Linked DNA regions of Nothobranchius furzeri. The protein of the gene in region 1 binds, or shares a complex with, the protein of each later gene. Links are inferred from orthologs where the notes say so. Each region holds a gene or a part of one and is shown in the gene's direction. Other genes may lie near its edges. The genes, in order: taf6, tbp, taf8, taf7, taf13, taf11 and taf3.

Evidence for each region.
Region 2: taf6 (region 1) and tbp share a complex: the UniProt entries of both Homo sapiens proteins name them as parts of the TFIID basal transcription factor complex. The link is inferred for Nothobranchius furzeri from reciprocal best matches to the Homo sapiens genes TAF6 and TBP.
Region 3: taf6 (region 1) and taf8 share a complex: the UniProt entries of both Homo sapiens proteins name them as parts of the TFIID basal transcription factor complex. The link is inferred for Nothobranchius furzeri from reciprocal best matches to the Homo sapiens genes TAF6 and TAF8.
Region 4: taf6 (region 1) and taf7 share a complex: the UniProt entries of both Homo sapiens proteins name them as parts of the TFIID basal transcription factor complex. The link is inferred for Nothobranchius furzeri from reciprocal best matches to the Homo sapiens genes TAF6 and TAF7.
Region 5: taf6 (region 1) and taf13 share a complex: the UniProt entries of both Homo sapiens proteins name them as parts of the TFIID basal transcription factor complex. The link is inferred for Nothobranchius furzeri from reciprocal best matches to the Homo sapiens genes TAF6 and TAF13.
Region 6: taf6 (region 1) and taf11 share a complex: the UniProt entries of both Homo sapiens proteins name them as parts of the TFIID basal transcription factor complex. The link is inferred for Nothobranchius furzeri from reciprocal best matches to the Homo sapiens genes TAF6 and TAF11.
Region 7: taf6 (region 1) and taf3 share a complex: the UniProt entries of both Homo sapiens proteins name them as parts of the TFIID basal transcription factor complex. The link is inferred for Nothobranchius furzeri from reciprocal best matches to the Homo sapiens genes TAF6 and TAF3.

The regions. Positions count from the first base shown.
Region 1 is NC_091750.1:47,777,018-47,779,903, forward strand, and holds part of taf6 (transcription initiation factor TFIID subunit 6), read left to right. Parts: intron 1-158; coding exon 159-236; intron 237-317; coding exon 318-419; intron 420-496; coding exon 497-679; intron 680-1,078; coding exon 1,079-1,153; intron 1,154-1,987; coding exon 1,988-2,113; intron 2,114-2,223; coding exon 2,224-2,397; intron 2,398-2,886. UniProt on the Homo sapiens protein: The TFIID basal transcription factor complex plays a major role in the initiation of RNA polymerase II (Pol II)-dependent transcription.
Region 2 is NC_091749.1:35,004,844-35,008,203, forward strand, and holds the end of tbp (TATA-box-binding protein), read left to right. Parts: intron 1-1,370; coding exon 1,371-1,465; intron 1,466-1,666; coding exon 1,667-1,746; 3' UTR 1,747-2,860; downstream 2,861-3,360. UniProt on the Homo sapiens protein: The TFIID basal transcription factor complex plays a major role in the initiation of RNA polymerase II (Pol II)-dependent transcription.
Region 3 is NC_091755.1:40,695,089-40,699,273, forward strand, and holds the start of taf8 (transcription initiation factor TFIID subunit 8), read left to right. Parts: upstream 1-1,385; 5' UTR 1,386-1,513; coding exon 1,514-1,561; intron 1,562-1,742; coding exon 1,743-1,896; intron 1,897-2,956; coding exon 2,957-3,055; intron 3,056-3,142; coding exon 3,143-3,205; intron 3,206-3,327; coding exon 3,328-3,452; intron 3,453-3,563; coding exon 3,564-3,711; intron 3,712-3,794; coding exon 3,795-3,937; intron 3,938-4,185. Other genes in the region: g0s2 (G0/G1 switch protein 2), read left to right, coding at 2-144, 232-604. UniProt on the Homo sapiens protein: The TFIID basal transcription factor complex plays a major role in the initiation of RNA polymerase II (Pol II)-dependent transcription.
Region 4 is NC_091741.1:82,927,740-82,931,239, reverse strand, and holds part of taf7 (transcription initiation factor TFIID subunit 7), read left to right. Parts: intron 1-923; coding exon 924-1,118; intron 1,119-2,651; coding exon 2,652-2,764; intron 2,765-3,500. UniProt on the Homo sapiens protein: The TFIID basal transcription factor complex plays a major role in the initiation of RNA polymerase II (Pol II)-dependent transcription.
Region 5 is NC_091755.1:48,193,984-48,196,691, forward strand, and holds taf13 (transcription initiation factor TFIID subunit 13), read left to right. Parts: upstream 1-1,308; 5' UTR 1,309-1,423; exon of another isoform or gene 1,424-1,430; intron 1,431-1,496; 5' UTR 1,497-1,543; coding exon 1,544-1,918; 3' UTR 1,919-2,208; downstream 2,209-2,708. Other genes in the region: slc35c2 (solute carrier family 35 member C2), read right to left, coding at 1-66. UniProt on the Homo sapiens protein: The TFIID basal transcription factor complex plays a major role in the initiation of RNA polymerase II (Pol II)-dependent transcription.
Region 6 is NC_091755.1:54,208,846-54,212,928, reverse strand, and holds the start of taf11 (transcription initiation factor TFIID subunit 11), read left to right. Parts: upstream 1-1,283; 5' UTR 1,284-1,473; intron 1,474-3,513; 5' UTR 3,514-3,544; coding exon 3,545-3,721; intron 3,722-4,083. Other genes in the region: nemp1 (nuclear envelope integral membrane protein 1), read right to left, coding at 1-76, 417-528. UniProt on the Homo sapiens protein: The TFIID basal transcription factor complex plays a major role in the initiation of RNA polymerase II (Pol II)-dependent transcription.
Region 7 is NC_091744.1:59,253,509-59,257,519, reverse strand, and holds the start of taf3 (transcription initiation factor TFIID subunit 3), read left to right. Parts: upstream 1-1,211; 5' UTR 1,212-1,393; coding exon 1,394-1,559; intron 1,560-1,934; coding exon 1,935-2,177; intron 2,178-2,439; coding exon 2,440-4,011. UniProt on the Homo sapiens protein: The TFIID basal transcription factor complex plays a major role in the initiation of RNA polymerase II (Pol II)-dependent transcription.

The DNA.
Region 1 (2,886 bases):
GAGATAAGATTTGCTTTTGGTTCTACTAAACGGACACAAGGTGGTGCTAGCCAAAACTGCCTAGTGTCCATTTAAAGTGGAAAGTCGGAGAGCAGAATCATCATTTTAGAAAATGTGTGTGAGCTTGCTGATCTGGTTTTTCTATTTGATTCATACAGGAAGCTCTACAGAGTATTGCAACGGACCCTGGTCTGTATCAGATGCTTCCAAGATTCAGCACATTTATTTCTGAAGGAGTAAGAATCTTTCTAACCTAACGTAAACATTGTTGATGTCACATCAAACATAAGTCAGCTGATTTTACGCTCTCCTCGAAGGTCCGTGTAAACGTGGTGCAGAACAACTTGGCCCTGCTGATTTATCTCATGCGGATGGTCAAAGCTCTGATGGACAATCCCACCCTGTATTTGGAAAAATATGTGAGTAAATGAAAAACCAGAAGTCCACGCCATTTTTAAACTAAAGATTATTTTAACAAAGCTGTTTTTCTTTGTAGCTGCATGAGCTGATCCCAGCTGTGGTCACCTGTATTGTGAGTAAACAGCTGTGTTTACGACCAGATGTTGATAACCACTGGGCTTTACGGGACTTTGCTGCTCGCCTGATGGCTCAGAGCTGTAAAACCTTCAGCACCACAACCAACAACATCCAGTCACGTGTTACCAAGACTCTGACCAAGGTAGGTGTTTGGTAGGAAAGTGGTCGTAAGACATTTTTGAAGTGAAAAGAGATAAGAGAGAAAAGTTCTGTGGCTAGAATTTATGTTTTTGACTAGAAAATGTTTGAACAACAAAAAATCTAATCAAAGTTCCACTTATAACTTACCTGTAATTAATATTTCATTAATAAAGTGTTTGTTCTTCACCAATCGAGCCAGTAAACCAAACCCATGTAAATAAACAGGTCTACCCTAAAGGCAAACGTTTACCATGATGATCATAACACTAATGTGTAGAACGTTCTGCAGCACATCTGCAGTGATGACCCAAATGACCTATTATTTAACAACTCTTAATACTAGCTCTAGTGACACAAACTCATTTTAAATCAGTGTTTTTTTGGGGGGGGACATTTTCAGAGTTTGTTCGATGATAAGACCCAGTGGACGACACGATACGGCTGCATTGCTGGACTTGCTGAACTCGGAGCTGATGTAAGTTTTTTTTTTTTTTTTTTTTTTTAGATTTTAACTTAATTTTTTGCTAATCAATGAACAGGTTTCTATTATTTTAACTGTATTTAGAATATGTGAATAGAAACAATTCTAAAAAAAAAAACTCTGTGGTGGGGTGCTCCCATTTGAGTTGTTTTCCTTTTGACAGTAGGGGTGGACGGATATCTCGGCTGATATTTACCACTTTTTAGATATCAGCATCGGCCGATGCGACTCCTTAGTAAAGCCAATTAAAAGTCGGGCATGTCCTCGGGCAGCCTGGTGCTGCTGCAGAATTAAATTTGTGGATATTTACATTCCTGAATAACATCTGCTTAATAAATGCTCAAAAAACTATTTTCAACTAAAATGTCTTAAATTTGACCAGTTTTGCCAGTTTACTAATTTGTTTGAGTAACTTTAGTTAAATGTCTGATTCCAACACTGAGCCGTGCATAAAATTAAGATTTAACAGTTGGTTAAACTCGGTGTTCAAAAACTGATTCGGTTTCAAACGTTTTGTAAATCAACTGATGTTATTGGTGGCATTTTAGCATGAACATGAGGTAGAAAACGTTTAAATATCGACCACGAAAAACAGCCCAGAATACCGGCAGCACTAATCGGCCATCACCTTTACCTGTCGGCAATAGAAAAACCAATATTGGTCGCCTCTATTTGGAAGAATTATAAGTTTTCACAGTGAGGTAATGGAAAAGTGCCATCGTCTGAAATGAAGGTGGTAGAGTTTGTTACAAGAGAAAAAACATCTAATTTACGACTTCTGTGTCTCAGAATTGTTACATCATCGTTTCCTGTTTTTGACCTTTTCAGGTGATAAAGACGCTGATCCTTCCTCGACTCACCGTAGAGGGAGCTCGCATCAAAGCAGTGATGGAGGGACCTGTGGTCTCCAACATTGACAAGATAGGAGCTGAACATGTTCAAACCCTCTTACTGGTAATAAATGTCGTTAGATGTGAATAAGACTCGTTTGTAAACTAAAACACTGAGAGACTAACAACTAGTGCTTTAAAGGTTGCAATAAGCTGTTTATTCTCTTTTTAAAGAAACACTGTGCGAGTGTTATTGCCAAGATACGACCTCAGCCGGACAACGTGGAGCAGTATCGGGCAGAATATGGCTACCTTGGGCCCATGTTGTGCTCTCATGTAGTAAAGGCCAGAACTCAAGCAACACTGCAAGCCCAGCAGGTCAACAGGACCACGTTAACAATCACACAGGTAAGCTGCAGAGTTACTTAAGTGTTCTAGTCTGCCGCTGATCTGAGTCGAGCTGTGTTTTGTTATTAGAGTTCTGTGCTCGTCATGGATTGTCCATAATGAACACCGTGTTCAGACATAAAGGTCCATATGGGCTCTTGGCACCAGGATACCTTAGGCCACAGCTCCATGATTGACTTTGTTGTCATCTCATCTGATCTGCGGCGTGTCTTCGACACTCGGGTGAAGAGAGAGGCGTAGCTGTCAGCTGACCACTACCTGGTGACGAGGTGGCTTCGATGGTGGGGGAGGATGCCGGTCAGACCTGGCAGACCCAAACGTATTGTGAGGGTCTGCTGGGAATGTATGGCAGTCTCCTGTCAGAAGTTTCTAACTTCCAAAAAGAAAGCAGTGCCCTACCAACTCTGTTTATAGTGGGGTCAGTGTGCTGCTGACTTCGACTCAGGACGTTGTGGATCGGTAAGCAGAGTACTTTGAAGTTCTCCTCAA
Region 2 (3,360 bases), on another chromosome or scaffold:
TGATCTAAACTTTGCATCCTGTAACAAAAATACAGCACAAGTAGGGCTGGGGGTAAACGATTATTTTTAAAACGATTATTCTGACGATTATTTTATCGAATAGTCGACTATTCTAATGACTATTTAGAAAATTAATCTAATGATTATTTTTCTATTGCACAATTAACAAAAACCAGAAAATCTCAAATAAATTCCTCAAAAAAATTGATAAATTGTTACTGTAAGAGAATAAACACTACAGGCCTTCCATTTTGTATAACACTGCTTTTATTGTGTTGCGGTTGGTTATGTTCTGGTGACGTGTAGAACTTGGGAGTGCAGGCTGCTGCCTGAGAGGTGGTAGAAGATGGAGTGTCTCCACGCTGCTTTGTTTTGGTCACTTATGTGCGTGAGGCGAGTGGTCTTACGGGTTAAACCAAACTCAAGGTGATATTTTACACTAAACCGAAAACCCACAACACTCTAAATGTAATAAAAGGGAGATCTACACCACAAAAAAGATTAACTCTAAACCAAAACGTAACAGCTTATCCCAACGCAAGAAGCTGTTAGCGAAGATGCTAACAGTAGCTTTACCAACGTTAAGTTCAAGTTACCAAGTTTAAATAAACCAAAACACCCAGCAGCAAACAGACCAGCACGGAGGAGAGACTGCTACCACCAAAACAGCTCTCCTAATGTCTGAAAGAAGCTCCTTTATGAAGGGAGAAACGCTCCCGGTGATTTTCTACATCTGCGATAGAGACGGAGCAGCGCATCTGACCCCGGAAGTTGTTGTCCGTTGCCGGGAGACGAAGGCGGGCAAAACAGGAAAATAATCTAGTAGTGGACGGACATTGTTCCGGGTCTTCGGTATTTGGCGGAGATGTTAGTGAAGGCGGAGAAGAGGGCGAACTAGAGGAAAAACAGGCAGATTCCTCCTCTATTTACAAACTCCTGGGGATGCAACAAGTGGGCGCGGTGCGTCGACTTCCGGATCTGACGTCGACAAATTTTTAGAATCGAGCCGTCGACGTAGTCGAGGCTTCGCTACAGCCCTAAGCACAAGGGGAAGCTTCTCTGTCATCCTGGACATGATCATCTTGAGTTGAACTGAAAATAGTAGAAGGCTTATAAGTTCTGGTCAGAAACACACTGACAAGTCTTGTATTTTGTAAAATGATTTTGTCAAAATTGGGCAATATTATTGCTCCTTTATTCCAGATCATGTAGCAAGTATAATAACAGCATTGATACATTTATGGCCAATCCATAAGCAGCAAAAAACCTGATCTGAGCATCGCTAATGTTTGCAAAGATTTAATTAAAAATGGTACATTTTTTTAATTTAAAATTCATATAATTGTGAAAGTCTAACTTGTGTTTTGTAGCTATGAACCGGAGCTGTTTCCAGGACTGATTTACAGAATGATCAAACCCAGAATCGTCTTGCTCATCTTTGTTTCTGGGAAAGTAGTGCTCACAGGTAAGGCCCGAGCTCTCAGACGGGTGTATTTTTAGATTCTAGTTAAAGTATCACCTAATAATTTGGCACATTGTTTTGGATCTCCTTTTATTTTGAAAGGATTGTAATTTTTTTATTTAAAATAGAACAAGAGATTCTGTAAGTTTTCTAGATTCATCTTGATACTGATCCATGTTTCAATCTTTTTTGTTTTTCCTGAAGGGGCCAAAGTGAGATCAGAGATTTACGAAGCATTTGAAAACATTTACCCCATTCTGAAAGGTTTCCGCAAAACGACGTAGGACCTGGGGTTTCTTTTCCACCTCCTGAAACCTGATCCTCTTATTTCATTCATTATTTAATGTCACATTTTTAATGAGAAGGTAGACTGATGCAGGTGTTGGGAGTTTTTTCATCCATCTTTCTGTCTTCAATTTTTTTAATCATCATTTTAAAGGTTGTTCTTTCACTCTGACCATGTTTATTGTGTCCTGTGGTTGCAGGTTTTTGTTGTCCCATCTCATCCCCAACTGTACATATGACTGTAAAAAATGTAAAGTGTTGTTGAGCAGAAAAGCAGTTCGACGACTAGGACTGCTGGTTTTATGTGAAGCTGTTTTAAATACTTTTATACTCTCAGCTGTTAGCATTTGTTGACCTCTCTTTAAATCCCCTGCTGTACATGATACTTGGGATTTTAAATCCTATGCTTACTCCCTTAAGGTAGAAAATAATCCTGATTAATGACTTTTTTTTTACACTCATTGGGAGTAGACGCCCATTAACTCAAGCTGAGCTAATCTTTATTTGACTGGCCAAGTTGTCCATGAATGTTTGCTGCTGCTAAACAGTTAAGTTGTTTAGAGGCGTTTGATAACTTTCGACTTTGTCTGGTTGAAGTCGTGAAACAATCTTTCTGTTGAAAGAGAGAACTGGTTTGTTGTGGTTACAGGAAGAAAGTGTTTAATGGTTAAACTTGAATGTGTGTATATGTTCTTCTGTAATTAGAATGAGAAGTGATGCCAATCTTAAAGTCGATGCAGCTCTTCAGCGGGATTTCAGTAGGCTCAATATTGATATAAGGGAAAAAAAGCTCTTATGATTAATATTAATTTCAAACCCATGCAGTATAGTTTTAAAAATGTTTTTGGTTGTTTCAAATCAGCAGAATTTTGGCTGTTTGGCCTTTGTCTAAAATTAAAACTCAAGTAGGATCACATTGAAGTCATTGCTGGTGGTCTTATGTGTTATACGGTCAGCTAGTGACGTTTATGGCAACTAGTTAAAAGTCTGGTTTATTTAGTGACATGTTCAGTCTCCATCTTTGTCTCTTCTGTCTGATTTCTGTCCTCCCAGCAGACTCGAAGAAGTTTGGTCCATTGTTTTCTTTTCCACCCAATAAAAGTGTACATATGACTCAAGTCTACTTGGTTTTCTTTGCAGCAACATTTTACAGCTGAAGTCTCTTGCGTAAAACCAAAAGTCACCATGAAGAAATAAACTGTGAAGACTAAAATACTGAATCCCTGTATAGAAATAGTTTAGGGAAAACCTCTGGGTAAGAGTTAAAACATGTTGTAGTTGGATGTTAGAGCTGCAGAAAATACATAATTTCTCTGAATATCTGAAATAAAGTAATTTGTGTATTAAACAATACAATCATTCTTACAAAAGGAATTGTGGCTTATTTGATACCCATCATAAAAAAGACAAGTCAGGATTGTCTCCCATGTAACATCAGTCAAAAGAGAATCATTTGTAGGTGATTATGTTGGAACTGACATGTCAAAATCATTAAATTTTAAGAACAAGGGTGGTATGGGCTTCTGGTCAGGATGCTTCCTGGACGCCTCCTTGGGGAGGTGCTTCGGCATGTCCTGCCGGCAGGAGGCCCCCGGGTCGACCCAGGACACGTT
Region 3 (4,185 bases), on another chromosome or scaffold:
TATGCATGGTCTCTCCTCTGTTGTGGGAGGAAACGCGGCTTCGGCTGTATTTAAATGGGAAGTCTGCTCCAGCCTCTCCACCTGCGAATGCCTGATCGTGCCAAACACTTGGGAGAAATTCACATTTTTGACGTCTGCCTTAGAGTGAGTATCATTCATTAGCCAAATGTCTTTGTGATAATTGTTTTTTCCACAAAAGAACACTACATTAAACTATTATTTTTCTTCCAGCAGAATCATTGCATATCAGAAAATGGACAGCACCAACGAAATCATCCTTTTTGCCAAGGAAATGCTGAGACAGAAGCCCAGCTGGAGCATGCTTAAGATCTACATGCTCGGCTCGACTCTGGCGATGATCGGGATGGTCGGTGGTGTGGTGGAGATGATTCTCCAGCCCTTTTTAGACAATCACAGCCCAGGGGAAGAACAAGCAAAGTTCTACATCGAGATGAATAAGGAAAACAGTACGAGCAAATCAGACTCTGCCACAGTTCATGCCGAAGTTGAGGACATGATGGGAGCAGTATCGTTTGGAGCCAAGACTAAATATCTGGGGACATCTATCCAGAGAAGCTCAGCCAACCGCTTACATGCTTCTTAAAGAAACACTCCACACCACTTAAAAGGACAAAGATATACCAGTATTGTTGGTGGTGGTGGTGGTGGTAGCCTGCATTACCAAATCAAGCAGCTCATTTTTTATTCTTTAATTTATTTCAGATATGGTTAAATGTGTAGTTTTTCTTAGCTGGTGGCTAAAACTTAGCTGAAATGTTACAATAAAAACTGCAGGATACAGTTTAGTAATGCTGCTGGGCAGCAGGTTCCAATGGCTGACATGCACTGGGTGTCTATGGAGCTCATGAAATGCCATTCGTGTCATTCATTTTGTACTTAAATAAACATTTTTTCTGCTCGCAGAATTTTGGCCCTAATTTAAAGCGCCCACAGATTCAGATTTATTCGACTTTAACGGTAGAGGTTTAAGCTTTATGCATGAGGAGAATTTTATTGAGTAAAACAAAAAGTAATGTGTATTTAGCACTGTTCGCAGAAAAAATATCACCAAGGGCTTCACAAATAAAAACTGTAAACACCGCATACAACCTGTGTAAAAATGTGCTCGTAAAAACAAAAGAACATAAAATAAGGTATAAAAAAATTCTAACGTAATGTGTTTTCAGCTGTTTCTCAACACAATCTTTTCAATAAGAGCACAAGGACAGAGCTAAAGTGTGGGAGCCACTGCTCGAAAGGCCCGACCACCTCTGGTAACCAGTAAGCAGTAAAACTGGGGAGATGTGCGCCCTTACTGGTACGTTATGTCAGCAAATAGCCACTAGATGGCAGAGTGAAAGACTCTAATACTCAATTTCACTTCCGCAACAAAAGCGGAAATTACGTCATAGTATGAGCTGTGTTTACAATCGACGGTGAAGCGGTTTCTGGATAAGTAGAAATAGAAGAAGAATTGCATTTGTTAGAGAAGGAAACCTGGAGCTAACCTCTTATGGCGGATCCAGCGGTAGTATCGGGAGGGTCGCTGCCCTCCTGCGGGGTAAGAGATGCTTTTTAGGGCATTAGAACGCGCCAGCTAGCTTACAAGCGCCTCTCATCGCCACAGTTATTACTACTGTAAATAAACATGTTGGTCCTTGGCACGAGCAGTAGTATTTCGATAGATATTTACATTAAGCTAGCACCTTACAACGCCAGGGTTTGTGTGTGTGCTCTTTCAGCGTGGCGCTAAAGCGGCTTCCAGCGCCGCGGAGAACTACCAGCTGGCCCGCCGTCGCACCCTGCAGGTTGTTGTCAGCGCCCTGCTGACCGAGAGCGGCTTTGAGAGCGCAGAGAAGGCCGCGGTGGAGACGCTCACGGAGATGATGCAGAGCTGTAAGTGTTTACAAACAGTAGCTTCTGTCCGCTGAGCACGAGCTTCCAACACCAGGTTAAGGCTATTCAGATGAATGCATGTTTACGTCTAAACTTCACTTGATCTAATCAGTCTAGGTTAGTTTAAAGAGCAAGTCACCCCCAAATCAACTATTTTTTCTGATAAACTATATAAATGCGTGTCTAATCGTGCTGCAGACACGTGTGGTCAATAGTTTTGCACTTTAGTGCATTTTAGTTAAAATTTAAATTTTCTGCCTTAAACTGTCAGTGTTGTGCCGTTGTCAGGTAAAAACTCTTCACTGCATTTGAATTTAAATCTGCCACCGCTATTGGCTAAGAGGTATGCTATGATGTAAACTGGTACATTATGATGTCACAATGTCGTGCGTGTGTGTATTTGTTAGTGGCTCCACCCTCTCGGTCTGCTAGGCAACAGCATTTGTTGCATTTTTCAAACATGAAGTGGGAGTGGAGTACGCTTCTTGTAGGGGGTGACTTGCTCTTTAAAGAGCCTCCGTCCTCTATGTTTCAGCTGTTTCTGCTCCATCTGGGGCCCCATTTATAAACAAAACCGGGTCTGAAAACCGCGTGTGTCACTTTCCACGCACATTTATAAAGAAAACCTGACAGGAAAATGCGCACAACTTTAGGCAAACCCCTGTGGAGTCAGGGAAACTAGCAGCACAGCAGGTGAGATGACAAATGGTGAATTCAAGCCGCATTTGGACCCTCGTGTCTGCGCACGCACACACACAAACACACACAACCACAGTCAGCTCCCTCACCCGTCTCTGAATAAATAAAATGAGAACTTAATAAAAAATATGTCGCTGTTAAGAGATCACAATGTGTTCAAATGAACGTCTTCAACCGGAGTCACGTCCAGCGTTTAAAGAAGTTAAATAAGAACTAGTGACTGCAGGTTATGACTCTGAGAGCTTCTATCCACTACTGTGTTGTACGATTGGTGCTGGCCTTTGATGAGGTATTTGTTTGGTTGTTTAAAAGCGTGCCTGTAGAGTTTTTGAAATACTAATGGTATCATTTTCCTGTAAAGATATAAGTGAAATAGGTCGTTGTGCCAAAGCATACTGTGAACACACGGCCAGGAGCGTCCCAACCCTCTCTGACACGGTGGTCACACTCATTGAAATGGGTAAGACTGAAGGTGCATCAGCATGGTGACATGTTTTTTTTTTACTGTGAACACACTCCTAATCGGTGATTGTTTGTCCTTGGAAAGGTTTTAATGTCGACACTCTCCCCGTGTACGCCAAGCGGTCACAGAGGATGGTCATTACAGCTCGTAAGAAACAAAACCTGACATTTCTGCTGTTAGAGCTGTGATGATACCCTAGGATATCAAGTAACGAGTCACGGTTGTAGGCTAGTTTTAAGTTCTACATGTTTGTATTTCCTGATTTTTAGCTCCAGTCACGAACACACCAACAACACCTAAATCCCTGTCAGCTGGGCACAAGCGCACTCACCCACCTCATATTCCTAGCCACTTCCCAGAGTTTCCGGACCCTCATACCTACATCAAAACACCTGTAAGTTCATCAACATAATCTCCATAATAGCCCTATAAAACCACGTTCACCCCCATAGTGGGTGATGTTGCATAAACAGGTGTTTTGCGAGGCTCTCCTTCCTTCCCTCAGACATTCAGAGAGCCTGTGTCCGAGTACCAAGTGGTGAGAGAAAAGGCAGCGAACCAGAGGAGAGACGTAGAACGGGCCCTCACACGCTTCATGGCCAAAACTGGAGAAACTCAAAGCCTCTTCAAAGACGACGTCACGGCCTTCCCATGTGAGGGATCCCGACTGTACATTACCCGTCAGATTGTGTGTAACCCTGTGCATTAATACAGAATAACACATTGCTGTTGTTAGTGATCGCAGCTCGGCCAAGCACCATCCCATATCTGAGCGCCCTCCTGCCCTCGGAGCTGGAACTGCAGTCGCTGGAGGAGACGGACTCCTCTGAGCAGGACGACCAGACCGACAGCGAGAACACAGCTGGAAATATGGTGACAGTAAGTCTTCACAGCTGGGAATTGGTGCCAGGCGCAGTAGAGTAGTAGTAAAAATAACTTTTTGAAGGTGCCATTCTGAAGGTCTAAACTAAGAGGAACAGGGCAATAAAAAGCAGCACTTAGGATTGAAACAGAGAGAGTCGCAGCTACACTGCGGAGTGTGTTAGAACGGTTAGGAGTAATAGGAAGGATAAGGCGCTATCCAAAATAACACAAGAGCTCTTTATTGGTACTAGTGTGGTGTTAGT
Region 4 (3,500 bases), on another chromosome or scaffold:
CAGATCTTTATACATTCGTATGCATGTATTGTTTGCTTATAGACGCATTCAGTCATATGTTGCTTCTAGGGATGTAAGAAAATATTGATATAGCAATATATCGTGATCTTTTTTCCTGCGATATATCGATATTCAAAAGCTGTGTATCTAATTTTTGGAAGAATTTACATGCAAACGTGTGTATTAACTTTTCTTTTGGTGCAAATCAAATGCCGACCACTAGTTGGCAGCAGTGTACAATGGGTTCTGTTTCCACCATTGAATTGTAAATCCCTCTATCATGGGTCAGATACCTCATGTTAAACATGATAAGTATCAGTTTTGACTGTTTATTGAATTTTCCTACAATAAATTCAGCCTAAAAAAATCGCTGATATCGTCTGACTGAATGTATCGCAATATATCGGGATATATCGTATCGCCTCCCCGTATCGTGATTCTTATCGTATCACCATCATTTCACCAATACACTTCCTTAGTTGCTTCCATATACTTTACCAGTGCTGCTTACAGTTTGTAGCCTTTTCAATTTAGACTGTCCACTTAAGAAACTTTTGACAAATTTTAAATGTTACAAGTTTTTTTTAATGGCCTTTAAAATGAAAAACACCTTATTTTGTGATTTTATTTGTGCTGAGATATTTTTTTTTATTAAAAAGGAAATTAATAAAACATGATGATCTTCATGTCAGTTTTTACAAAACGCCCAAACAGTCAAGGTTTGGGTTTAGAGATCAGAGAAGATTATTCTGGATGTTTGGACTCCAGGATGTTTTCCGTCAATGACCAACAGACCAAAAATGTTATCTTTTTATAAACTTTGGTGTCTCCAAGGGAATTCAAAGCCATCTTAGTTTTCAGAGTTTCAGCGTGTCTTGTCTGTGTGTTGTTGTTAATAACACCGTTGTGCTCTGCACGGCCAGTCCCGCGCGACGAGCTGAGGGAGATCTTCAACGACATCAGCAGCTCAAGTGAGGAAGAGGAGGACGAAGGGGACCGGCATGAAGACGAGGACCTGAATATCATGGACACAGAGGATGATCTAGTGCGACAGCTCCAGGAAAAGCTCAACGAGTCGGATTCTGCTCAGCATGAAAGCGACAGAAACAACCAGATAGGTGAGAATTAGAAGTTTGGTCGTTGTTCATCACAAGGTCAGCAGTGTGGGGGAGAATAATCTCACACTTTAAAGCTGTTTAACCTTTTTCTAAAATGCAATGTGGGCCTCGTTTATAAAACTTTGCATAGAATCCTTACCAAAACCCTACTTAAGCTCAGTAAAGAATAAATTACTCACGCAAACTAGTTTACTACGACCTATAATACTCTGCTCACTCACAGCTGCACGCAGTTTCTGCTTTCTGTATCATGGCCAGGTTTCCTGTGTCCAAAGCGTACTCACGCCAGGTCCAGTGTTTGCTTGAATTTGCGCACAATTATTCTGTCAAGTTTTTCTGAATAAGTCACGTTTGCATGGAAAGTCACTTATGCAGTTTTCAAACCTTGTTTTCTGTGCAAGCAAGCTTTATAAATGAGGCCCCTGGTCTGTAAATTATCATTTTCATTTACCTGTTTAAACATTTTCAGGTTGCAGGTTCCAGGAAACGTCTGCACGTAAAGTGCAGACTCAAATTTGAATCTCTTTACTTCCAAATAACCTACATACCTAGCTGAATGAAGCAAGTGCTGTGTTGGATTATGCAATCTTTCATGCTGTGCTTGCAACTCACACCTCAGGGTAAATGTTCAATCTCTTAGCCAACTTGGTTGTTAATTTTTTTGTCAGAGTGGTCACAGCAACAAGGTTGGACTTTGGAAGAAAGTCAGACATTAAATTAAATCAGATCACCCCTAGGTACTTGTCGAAGCAGATGTAAAAAATAAACGGAACCAAGTGTTTGAACTTTTAATAAGAAGTGAGCTTTCTAGGTCAGACATCACACACAGTCAAAGAAATAGCCTGGCTTCCCCGTAAACGCGCATGCTGCTGCACCCTGCAGACGAACACACTGACAGCTCTCAGCTCTCCTCCTTAACCAACCAGGCTGACAGGTGTTGCAGCGCGGCATGCAGCTCAGACAGCTGTCCGGTCTGACAGCGCCGGGCCTCCTTATCTGCATACGTGAAGCTGTCAGTCAGCAACTCCACTGGTCAGCTGCAGACCAGCATCCAGGCAGAGCGTTTTCCAATATGTTGCAGAATGGTTTGCCATGATTCCAGCTGCTGTGCAGGCTTGTAATAAATGGTGCAGCAAGGGCCCCTTGCTGCTTAATTTAGCACAATACAGCAACTGCATTGGAAAATTGAGCACCAGTGGAAATAAGCAGTGAATGGATGCAATTAGTTAGAAAAATATGGAGCCAGTGCAGCTACAGGTTAGTGGGAATCAGTTGAATTGAATTAATTGTAACTCTCTTTGTTGAACCTACAGCAAACTGATTTAATTGTCTCATAATGCGTCACTGCTGCTGGTGCATCATCCGTTAAACAGACCAATCGTTCCCTAGAAGGTTTAATTTACTTAATCTGCAGTCATGCATGCATTGTTCTCCAGAGTTGTTTAGTTGCATCAAGCGATGCCAGACCATTGTTTTTTTCTGAGTTGTTTTAGGACCTTTTTTAACACGTTGGCCTCCTGCTGTTTTCTGCAGTTATGGAGTACCAGGTGCAGATTAACAACATAAAGGCCAAGCTTCAGGAAACTCTTGCCCGCAAGAAACAACAGGAAGAGCTCATCATGAAGGTGGAAAACCAGGCCCTGAAAGTAAGTGGCCAATGCTTTCTTTTTGCTCCTGAATTGCATGAAATCACTAAAACACACACACAGGGTCCGAAATTAACACTCGCCACTCGCCAAATGCGAGCAAATTGCTCCATTTGGCGAGTAAATTTTTGAGCTCTATCTGCCACCTGGCGAGTAAATGTTTGCACCAAATTAGTTATGTTTATCAGTCATCTTCCATGGATTTCTGTGATACTCCTCCCGCCTGCATGCAACGTACACAAACGTGCGCGAAACGTGAGCGCCGCATCCAATGTCATTTCCACCTATCCCATTCAATCAGTTTATCAAGTTAGCAGTTAGCTTCGTGTTAAAACTAGCGGTGAAATGTGGCGGTTTTTAACTGGAGTCAGCCAGCCTTCCAAAAGAAAACTCGTCGAACTGGAAGAAAAACCACCAGGACCAGTGGCAACCAGATTTTGTGAAAAGTGGCGAACTGGAGATGGCGGAGTCGTGAGACAATGGCTACATTATGATGGCCACGTAGCGTTGCTGCCTTTCACAGACACTTTTTTTCTGCACGTGCTGCAAACAGGATAGCCGTCTTCTATCAACTGTCCCTCGGCATTCTTCAAATATCCAAAAAATGCCCGTACTTCCCACTTTGTCTTCTTTGAGGGATAATAAATGTCCCAAGTGCTGCCGTCTCCTCCTGCCATTATTTCAGCTTTGGCTTCAAGAAAGTTTTGGTCGTAAACAACAAAGCGCGCATGTGCCG
Region 5 (2,708 bases), on another chromosome or scaffold:
ATAGTAGAGGAGGACCAGTCCAATAGTGCAAAGACCTCTGAAGAGGAACTGAACTGGGCACGCCATCCGGGACTTCCAGGACCAGCTGTCCAGAATGGACTGTTAATGCAGAGGGAGCATCTCCAAAATACCTCTGCACCCCACCACACCACCCATAATGGTTCACTAGAATAAGGACCTAAGGGGAAAAACAACAAACATATGAGATATGTTATTCGGATTCAACAGAACATCCTTATCTACAACAGATAATGTAAATATGTGAGATATAATTCAACTTAGATTATCTGAAATGACTGGGGGACCTCACCCTATACACCTGAAAGACACATCCGGTCTAGCTTTAACAAGCTCTAGCAGACAGCCATGACTTGTTAATGTAACTTAAAAATAAACTATTTTTTAAAATAAAGTTCTCAACTAAGGAGAGTTGTAAATAAAACCCTTCACTTCTAGGAGCGTTAAATTGTATTTTATTTACCTTTATTATAATTCTGACCAAGAACCATGCGATTTGGATTTGGAAGATGCTATAAAATTAAACCAAAAAGTCATTAAGACTGTGTTACCACAGCCACAGCGTTAGCCTACACAGCTAACAGCTAACGAGACATGTGGAGATGAACGGCGTAGCACACACATCCTACTTTACATCTAGATATAATATAAAGTGTGTCCGGTTTACCAGATGGCTTGTGAAGAATCATCACAACCAAGCAGTTGCTATCTTTAGCCGTTAGCTGACAGCTAAGCTAACGCAACTTTCGGATCTCTAAACGTTTTAACAACATTAACATAGAAACATTTAGTAGCTAACCAGCGACTCTAGTGTAGTTCTTACCGGTTCTGATCTTGTGTACACGTCTGAGCACAGAAAGAAAGAAAATAAGGCACTAGATATTTGAGCTAGTGTTTCTTTCCGCTATGTTTCTTCTTCTACGCCTTCAACGGAGGTTGACACATTATTCACAAATGCATGCTGGGTTAGAGAAGCAGAAAACAAAAACCGCCAAAAAGCTTCAACTTCATTATCATTCATGATATAGTTTGGCTAAGTAGAAACAAAAACACTCAAGAAAACAATTGGAATAGATGCAGATCTGAAATAAACCTAATATACATATGAAGTCGTTATTTTTTCCGTTTGTTGAATTCAGCCTGTCAGTGTGACTCTCATGGCTCTAATATTTATTAATTTATTTTGTTTATTTATTTATTTATTTGTGACTCGTTTCAATCTCGATTTTAAACAAGAATTTATTCAAAAGATTAGATCTGCGCTGACGTTTCAAACTCAGTCCAGTAGGTGGCGGTCATGCAATTTGAAGTTGGCGTGTCAAACGCTGAAGCCCAAAAATACCAAAGAAGAAGAACAACAACGAACGTAGAAGAGTCTGGGGATTGTTGTGATCCAGTTTTCAAAGTAAAATGTAATTTTTGTTCTCTAAAACGCATTTTGATGTTTGCATGTTGTAAGTGTGAGGTTTATCTTACAGTAAAGCGTCGTTAAGGCTCGTTTTATCGGCGTTTTCCTCCAGAATTAATGGCGGACGAGGAGGACGAGGCTGGCTTCGAGGAGGAGTTGGAGGACGGGTCCAGCGGAGTGGATGTCGGCCACGGCAGGAGAAAGAGACTCTTCTCTAAGGAGCTCCGGTGCATGATGTACGGGTTTGGAGACGACCAGAACCCGTACACGGAGTCTGTGGATATTCTGGAGGATCTGGTGATCGAGTTCATCACGGAAATGACCCACAAAGCCATGTCTATCGGGCGCCAGGGCCGCGTCCAGGTGGAGGACATCGTTTTTCTAATTCGCAAGGATCCCAGAAAGTTCGCCAGAGTCAAAGACCTCCTGACCATGAACGAGGAGCTGAAGAGAGCCCGGAAAGCTTTTGATGAAGCCAATTACGGCTCCTAATGAACTCGCGTTTGTTTGTCGCTTCCTGCTAACTGGTTTGTGTATTTTTTAGTGGTTCTCACTTGAATAACAGAACTGACTGTTTTAATGACATGTTTACACTGTCAAGTCATCGGAAACTCTCAAATAAAGTTAGTTTGTTTCAAATAAGTCCCAACACCAACAGGAAAACCAACATCTGTTATTTACATTGAAGAATGAAACTTTCTGCCAACGTGTTGGAAAGGATTGTTAAGGTTTTTTTAAGTGTTTCCATGGAAACTGCGTGAATAAATTAACATTTCATTATCTTTCCTGCTGTTTGGATTGGAGAGACTTTTGTGGTATATCAGGTGTTTCTGCAGTTTAAAATTAGAGTTTTTACACCTTAAATGTACCCGTATGTCGTTAGTTTCCTAACTTTGTTGCTGTCTGCAGAAGAGATGACCTGCTGTGGCACATCTGGCTGGGATTTCATAATTGTGAGTGTTAACCCTTTGATGCATAATGGTCACTACAGTGGACAGGTACTCAAAATTGTTATTTATTTGTTTTTGCACAAAGCACAGCTGTTGAAGACTTGATGGCATTTGAGCCCCTCCATTTGGACTTCAGTAAGTCAAGCCAACATGTTTCATGCTCAGAATGCACGCTGCCCACTGAGGTGGACATGTAATAAATTATTTGTAAATTATAAAAAAAATATATATTTGTTGAAATTTGTTTCATTCACACCTAAAGACGAATGAAAAAAATCATGGTTGAAGATTTCATAATTCATGCATCAAAGGGTTAAAGCATTTTGTAATAA
Region 6 (4,083 bases), on another chromosome or scaffold:
CTGTAGCAGAACCGGTTAGATCCTGACATGGTGAACTCTTCTCCATCCTGCAGATCAATTATTTGGGCTGCTTTCCCTGGATTTCACAAGCAGACATGTCTCTGGACTGGATAATCCTGTGAGATTATCATCTACTGCTAATTGTTAGAATGATTTATCTTTTGGATAAACCCAACTAATAGCTTATCCATGTGAAATGTAAAGGAATTGTACGAAAAGGGAATTGGGGTGATGTTAACTACTACATGTATAACCAACAGAATTAAAGAGGAACGTATGAAGCACCACTAAACTCACACAAGCAGTTTCACTTTGTGAAAGAAACAAGCTAACACTAATTAGCTGGATTAGCCTGAGTTAAAACACAATAAAGTAAGTGACTGTGTATTTTCCCACTTTGTAACACAGCTTCTTACCAGTACTCTGGAGTGAAGACTGGGGTAAACAGATAAAGAGTACAACGAAGACTAAAACTTTGGTTATTGCTGACTTGTAACAACAGTGTGTCGTTTTCACGCATCCCGCCATGGCCGTTCTACCTTAAGCTCCTCCCCTAACATCTACCACTTCCTTTTCCGTTTCTCGCGGCTCATTCCAGCCAATCACAGCGCTGGGTCGTCGTTGTTGTTGCACGTTAGCTTACGTTTGTTAAAGAGATAGTACGTTTTGTAAAAAAGAAGTATTATCTTACCTAAAGATAATTACTTCAAACTCCAGTTTCTAGCCTCATTGATATAAGGACGCTAACATGTTTTCTACTGATGTTTTACCCAATGACTAAAAATGACCAGAACCAACGTGTAGTTTCGGCTTTTCGCCACTAGAGGAAAGCAATTTACCTCTTCGTTCACAAAAAGCCAATGAAAAACTGAGTTTGAAGCAAGCTCCACACAGGCATCTTATCCAGGTAGATCCTTTTATAACAATTAAAGCCATTTTAAACCCGCTGTCGCATTTCTTATGTTACCCCTCCTTCACATTTTAACATCTCCTGTCGGGGACATAACAAAAGAGAAGGAGGAGGAGGATTTGAAGGAAATAAATCTGGATTAATACATGTAAAAGACTTCCTGAGTAGAAAGACTATCTAATTTCTTCCAAAGTCTGTTTTTTCCTTAAATGAAAAATATGAGCTCTATGCTGGTGGCAATAAACAGAACAGCACTATTTTACGTTCAAGATTCCCTAGAGTTTATGAATTCGCCTCATCAGCTACCCTCCAGTGCGGTAAGGGGCGACAACATTTTTTTTTTCCAAACGCCATTAACCCACGAAGAAGAAAAGGAAGAAGAAGAAGAAGAAGAAGAAGAAGAAAGAAGCGCTAGCTTAGCTTTTCACGTTTGTTGTGTGCTTTAACATATTATACAAATGTATCATGTTTAATCCACTTTCTGTTCACGGCTACCTAAAATACGTTTAAATTAGTTTTGTTGCTGCTTCCTGTGGTGTCGTTGAGCTCGTTCTGGCTTGAAGGTATGTATATGCTGTTATTTCTGTCGTGAAAATCCACCTTAACGGTAAATTTCATTTCTTTCTTTATTTAATAGGGACAGTGCATATTAATGAACTTCAACAATAAATTGCATCGGTAAATATGCCAGATTGTAGCACCAGTGCTAATTTACATCTGCAGTCCCTAGGCGGGTAATAAAAGCAATAAAAGAAAGTAAAGTATTGTATTTAAAACTAGGAAAAACAGAAAGAAAACACACAAAACACCACGGTGAGGACAAATTACTGATGGATACGGGTTTGGGTTTCCTGCAGCCATTGTTTGAATTTGAAGGAACTGCATGACTGTGAGTCACCTATGCTGAGTGGTAGACTATTCCAATATTTAGTCCAATATTTAGTTAGGATAGTGTGGTCGGGCCAAAAGCAGTGCGTCTGTAAGGCACCTCACAGTCTCCTCTATCTGTAGCCCTGGTCGACGTTCCACTGATAGACCGCGATTTATTACAATCTGTCAGTGGGAAAGGGGCTAGTCCATGTAAAACCTTAAAAAACAGGCAAGCATTCTTGAAGGTAACAAAGTTACTAAGATTAAGAAGTCTATATTTATCTAAAACAAAGCAGTGGTGGAAACTAAATGATTTCTTATCAAGGATTTTTATGGCTTTTAAAAAAAGGGATTCTATGGGTTTGAGTGTTGCACCAGCAGCAAGTGACCAGGAGGTTATACACTATTCCATGTGAGACAAAATCATAGAATGTAAAAATAACTTTGCAGCATGGAGTGAAAAAAGGTCTAACTTGTTAAAAAAATGACATTATAATTGACAGTTTTTTTTTAAAAGTTGTTTAATGTGATTCTTAAAAGTTAAGGTTGGGTCCAAAGTTAACCCAAGATATTTGAATTCTTTGACAATATCAAGTTCTACCCCTTCAAGAAAGATGTTTGATTTTTTTTAGTTCAATTGTTTGTTTTTTTTGGTGAAAAACATGCAAACAGTTTTTTTTTATGTTCAGCTTTAAGTGGGAACTCTTGACCCATTTTTGTACATGGGCCATGGTTGCAGTCAACAATTGGGAGGCTTCCTGAGGACGTTTAGTATCAGTAAAAATAACAGCATCATCTGCATACATTTGTATGTTTACTTTTGAACATACTTCGAGAAGATCATAAATATAAATGATAAACAAAATCGGCCCCAGAATACTGCCTTGGGGAACTCCAACTGGACAACTAATGTAGGAGGATTTATTGCCAAACAAGGACACATATTGTTTTCTGTCACACAGATAAGACTGAAACCAGAGCAGCGCCTCTGGTGAGAAATTAAAATGACTCAATTTGTTTAGAAGAATTTGATGATCGACGTGTCGAAAGCCTACTTGAGGTCTATGAACACAGCTCCTACACATGCATGCCTGTCAAGGAGACTTTTGACTTTTTCCACAAAGACACAATTTGCAGTCTCTGTGGAGTGGCAGTTACGAAATCCGAATTGCATTGGATGTAGGGATGTGTGTCCAAAATTTAAATATGCATTCAGTTGCTTTGCCACCCACTTTTCTGCAACCTTGGAGATAGTGGGGAGAATACTGATGGGCCGATAATTGGCCATTTCAGTTTCGTCAATTGGCGTGACTGCAGCTAGCTTCCATGCTAAAGGCACAACATTTTGTTTAAACGATAGAATAATTAAATGAGTTACCGGCTGAATTAGTGCATCTTTGTGCAGTTTTAAAAAATGGGTGTCGAGAGACCATATACATCCTTTGCCTTTGATTGGTTGCTGTCCACTTCTGTTATTTCTTCTATCCTGAAAACAGCATGACAAGGATTTACAGGATCAAAAACACCGTTAGACGGTGTGAATTGTTGAGTTATATCTCGAACTGTGTCAACAAAGTATTTATTCATTTCAGTAGCTATGATAAGAGGATCTTTCACCAGAGTATCATTTATTTTGATTTCAAGTTTATTAATAGCATATTTGGATTGTTTACCAGTTAATTGGTCTATATTTATCCAGATAAATTTATGTTGAGAACATTTTATGTTTGCAGAGGCTGAATCGTAGAGAGACGTCGAGAAACGATGGCAGATCCTGCTCGGATCAAAACAGAAGATTCTCTTCCGAAGACGGCAGCTTCTGCTATCGATGAAGAAGTAGTTAGGAAGGATCAACCTGAAAATGAACTCGTCTCAGAAAAACCTACAGAAGAAAATAAAGAACCGAGCGTGCAGGATCAGCCCACACCTCTGGTTAAAGCTGTGAGTGAAGCTAACCATAATGGTGCGCGGAAACATTGACAGGAGTTGATAGCTCTAAATAGTAAAACATGAATCTATAGAGAAGAGCCATAATTGAAGTTTCCTTACATTAAAACCTGTTTTAATTAAGATCAGCTTTATTTTAGCTGTGTTCTCAGGTGTGTAAATGTTTATGCTTGCATGAACAAAGTAGGTATCTTGTTACATCAAAGTGAAGATTTGTGGTGGTGGTGTGATGGTTTGGGCCTGATCCCCTGCATCTAATCCTGGACACATTATTACTAATAATAGGACAACTGGATATTTTATGTGTTTATATTTACAGCAGATAGAAACTTGTAGTTTGCTTAGACTCTTACGGG
Region 7 (4,011 bases), on another chromosome or scaffold:
GTCGCACAAATTTAAACAAAATAGAAGGGCTACAGCATTTCATCATTAATTGACCAGTTGACCAGCATGATGGCAGATATGGAGATGTCAGCATCATCTTGTGGGTAAGTCTTATTGCTACAGGGTGAGGATGAGTAGATGGGAGAACTGGTAGTGTTCACACTGGAAATGGAGTGCTTTAAATAATGCTATTTTGGAATGAGTACTACCAGAAAAAAATGTAAAGGCTAACACAAAAGAAAATTAATCATTTATTTTCAAATACATTTAAAAGATTTTATGTATATGCAAAATTTTAAATGCGTAAAACCTTATTTGACAAAGGAAACGTAGTTTTCGAGTCTTTAAAAGACGATACAAACAATGAAGAGTATTTTGCCACGTTTTAGGTGTTAATCAAATTTTAAGGCTTAAATAAATAATTTACTCTGATTATTGGTAAACCAGCACCGCCGTGTGCAAAATCTTATAATAGCATGCAAACCGAACAGCCACTGCACTGTAAATGTACCTTGGCGTTGAAACAATAACATTAATTTCGTGTTTACAGATTTCCAGCTTGATATCTGATACAGTACATTTAAAAACTATAAATTTCCCTGTTCGTTTTCATTAGCCAGCTAGCTAACATGCCGACGCAGATGTGGCTTGGTGGTAAAGGAAGAAAACCAACAGTGGTTGCTAATTCATCTCCTGCATGTTAGGTTTTTGTAGCACTTTAAAAGTGTTTATCTCAACATTTGGCGATAATCGCTTACATTTCAGTCTTGTTCTCCTCTGACAGACTGAGCTAACAGCCTGCTAAGCTACATGTCATTACTATTTGGCATGCCGCTGTAACATATATTTACACAATTCACTCTTCACGATCAGTTGAAACAAAAGCGTTCCGGGTTAGTATATTTTAAGATCTTCATTATTAAGAAGGTATAAAATTAAGATTGAAATTCGTAACAATGTTGTGTTGTATTATCCATAATCGTGTTATCTTTTTGCAGCAAATATTAATATTTATGTTACTGCTATTTGGGAGTTTTGTACTAAATAAAATCATTTTGATGAGAGGCGATTGAAAAAAATGAATTTTGCAAGTGTGCTCAGCGTAGCAATACTTTATGACAAGTCGGCTCGCCATAATTTTCCTTGTTTCGTATGACAGCGCTGTACTGCATTTGTACGCATGCGTAGATTAGAAATCGGGGTTGGGTTAAGCGATTAACTCAAGATGGCGACTCTGGCAAAAGCGCCAATATATTTACTGAAGTAAATGTCAAAAATTAAGTGGGATAGTGGGTTTTCCCAAGCCTATTGGGGTTTCCGCCAAACATGAAGACCAGGAGCATGTCTCTAATGAGGATTTGACCGGAATATTTACTGTAGCGAACCCAGAGAGATGTGCGAGAGCTATGCCCGCTCGCTGCTGCGTGTTTCGGTGGCGCAGATCTGCCAGGCTCTGGGCTGGGATGCGGTTCAGCTCACTGCAAGCGATCTGCTGTCCGATGTGCTGCATAGGTACATCCAGCAGCTGGCGAGGGTTTGCCACCGGTACTCTGAGCTGTGTAAGTGCTCTGTTTCATACTCCGATCACTTTTCCGAACCAATAAACCTGAAGTTGTCGATCACGTTGTTGATTTGTTTTGCAGCTGGCGCCCCCTCGTGTCCATGTGTCAAAAAGTGCAGTACCATTACAACTGCTGCTTCCTCATTTTTGTGTGAAAATACTCTACTTTCCGGTTATTTTACCATTACATAGATGCATTATTTTCACCTTAATTAGTTGGTTAAGTCAGTTTTAATCCTGTTGATCTGAAGTTAGTTTCTTTATGTGCTGTCAAACATGAGTCACATGTCTTTACCAGCCCTAAAATGATCGATTGGGACAGAATAATTAAAGTGTCTGCTCAGGCTTAAATCTTCTGTTCTTTATCTTATAGATGGAAGAACAGATCCAGTGCTGGATGATGTCAGCCAAGCCTTCAGGTTGATGGGGGTCAATCTGAGCGAGCTGGAGGACTACGTCCACAATCTGGAGCCCGTGTCCTTCGCCCATCAGACACCACTCTTTCCCATGAGCAAAAACAATGTCCTGCAGTTCCCTCAGCCTGGAGTCAGAGACGCAGAGGAGAGAAAGGATTACATTCCAGATTACATGCCACCTCTGGTGTCCCTACAGGAAGGTTCGTGCCATCGTTGATCACATGCGCGACATAAAGTCCGAACTGCGTTGACTTTTTTCTTCAAGGTTTTAGTTTATAAAACACTTATTACAGACACCTGTTGTTTTCTGTCGTTTCACTGCAGCTTTTAACATTCTGTGATTATAAACCATTGAAACTTTGCAGCACAGTCTAATATTTTACATTCATATATTAGTAACATTCCTTTAACTTTTGCCACTTTGTTGAATTACATGTTGTCATTGTTGTCTCTGCCTGGTAGAAGAGGAAGAGGAGGAGGTTCCTGCAGACATGGGCACCTCAGCCGAGGCTATGCAGGTGGCAATGGATGAGCAGGACGAGGAGGAGGTGGATGAGGACGAGACCGTAAATGATGAAAACCATCCGCTAAAGAGGCACCTGGACAGTCCCGATGCTGCTTTGGGCATGATGCCCACCTCCAAGAGACCACGCATGTACCCTGGCCTCAGCCCCGAGTGGGGAGTGGAACCTAGGGAGCCTCTTACCTCCATCAACTCACAGCGCGTTCCTCCTGGCATCCTTCCCTCTCATGACAGCCTGGACCCGCTGTCACCTGAAATGCCGTCTGGAGTTCTACCTTCTTTCAGGCCTCAGCCGATAATACCAAAACTGTCAGACCCCAAGGGCTTCACCACTCCAGTGAGAAAGCCCAAAGTCTCATCTCCTGGCAGACAACGGACTAAGTCCCCCAAAAGGGTAATTCCTGCTCCAGTGGTTGGCAGTCCCATCCATTCTCCAAAACCGTCTAAAGAAAAGAAAAAGTCTCCCGGCAGATCGAAGAGTCCTAAAAGCCCCAAGAGTCCAAAGATGGGTTCCTCTAAAGTTCCCATGCCTCAGAGCAAAGCAGACGTCCTGCAAAAGTTTCCTCTGTCTGCGCTGAGTGAGAGGATGGGCAAAGAGAACATTCACCTTCCTCCGAGCATGGAGGACCAGGACTTAGCCGAAGGGCCTTTTATCAAACTAGAACCTGATAACACAGCCATCAACGATTCTATCGATGCTGTGATAGCCAGAGCGTGTGCTGAGCGGGAACCCGATCCTTTTGCTTTCTCCTCTGGCTCTGATTCAGAAAGCAATGGGTTCTCCAGCCCCAGGAGGTTGACCATCATGGAGCCGTCTACGCCGAAATTCCACTTAGGGACTGGAATGTTGCTAAAAGACACGTCCACGCTTCTTCACCTACAGCCGCGGATGGGCCTGGACAGCTGGACTATGGATGACTCCATCAACGAGGTGATCCGGAAGGCCAATCACGGGGGTCCAGCTGCCCCGCCTCAGAATCAGCCTCCGTACATGTCGTCACGGTCGGCCTCACCTCCGACCCCGGAGCCTCTGCTCAAAGTGTTCGAGGAGAAAAGCAAGATGGTGTCTCCGTTAGACGTGAAGAAGAAGCTGAAGAAGGAGCTGAGGACCAAGATGAAGAAGAAGGACAAAGATAAACAAAAGGACAAAGATCGGGAAAAGGATAAGAGCAAACTCAAGGAGAAGAACAAGGAGAAGAACAGGGACAAAAACAAGGAGTCTTCCAAGGATGTCAAAATGCCTTGGAAGGATTTTGGAGTGAAAGACGAGGATCACTTTGTTCATCGAGACTTTTCTCTACCCGAGGGCTCCATCAAAATTAAATCTAGAGATGGAGATGGCCCTAAGAAGGAGAAGGACAAGCACAAGGACAAGAAGAAGGATAAGAGTAAAAAGGACAAAGAGAAGAAGGACAAGGGTAAAGACAGGAGCAAAGAGGACAAGCAGAAACAGCCTGTCATCCCGCCCTTTTCTCTGGGTGACGTCGCTCCTCTTTTCAGCCCTTCCACTT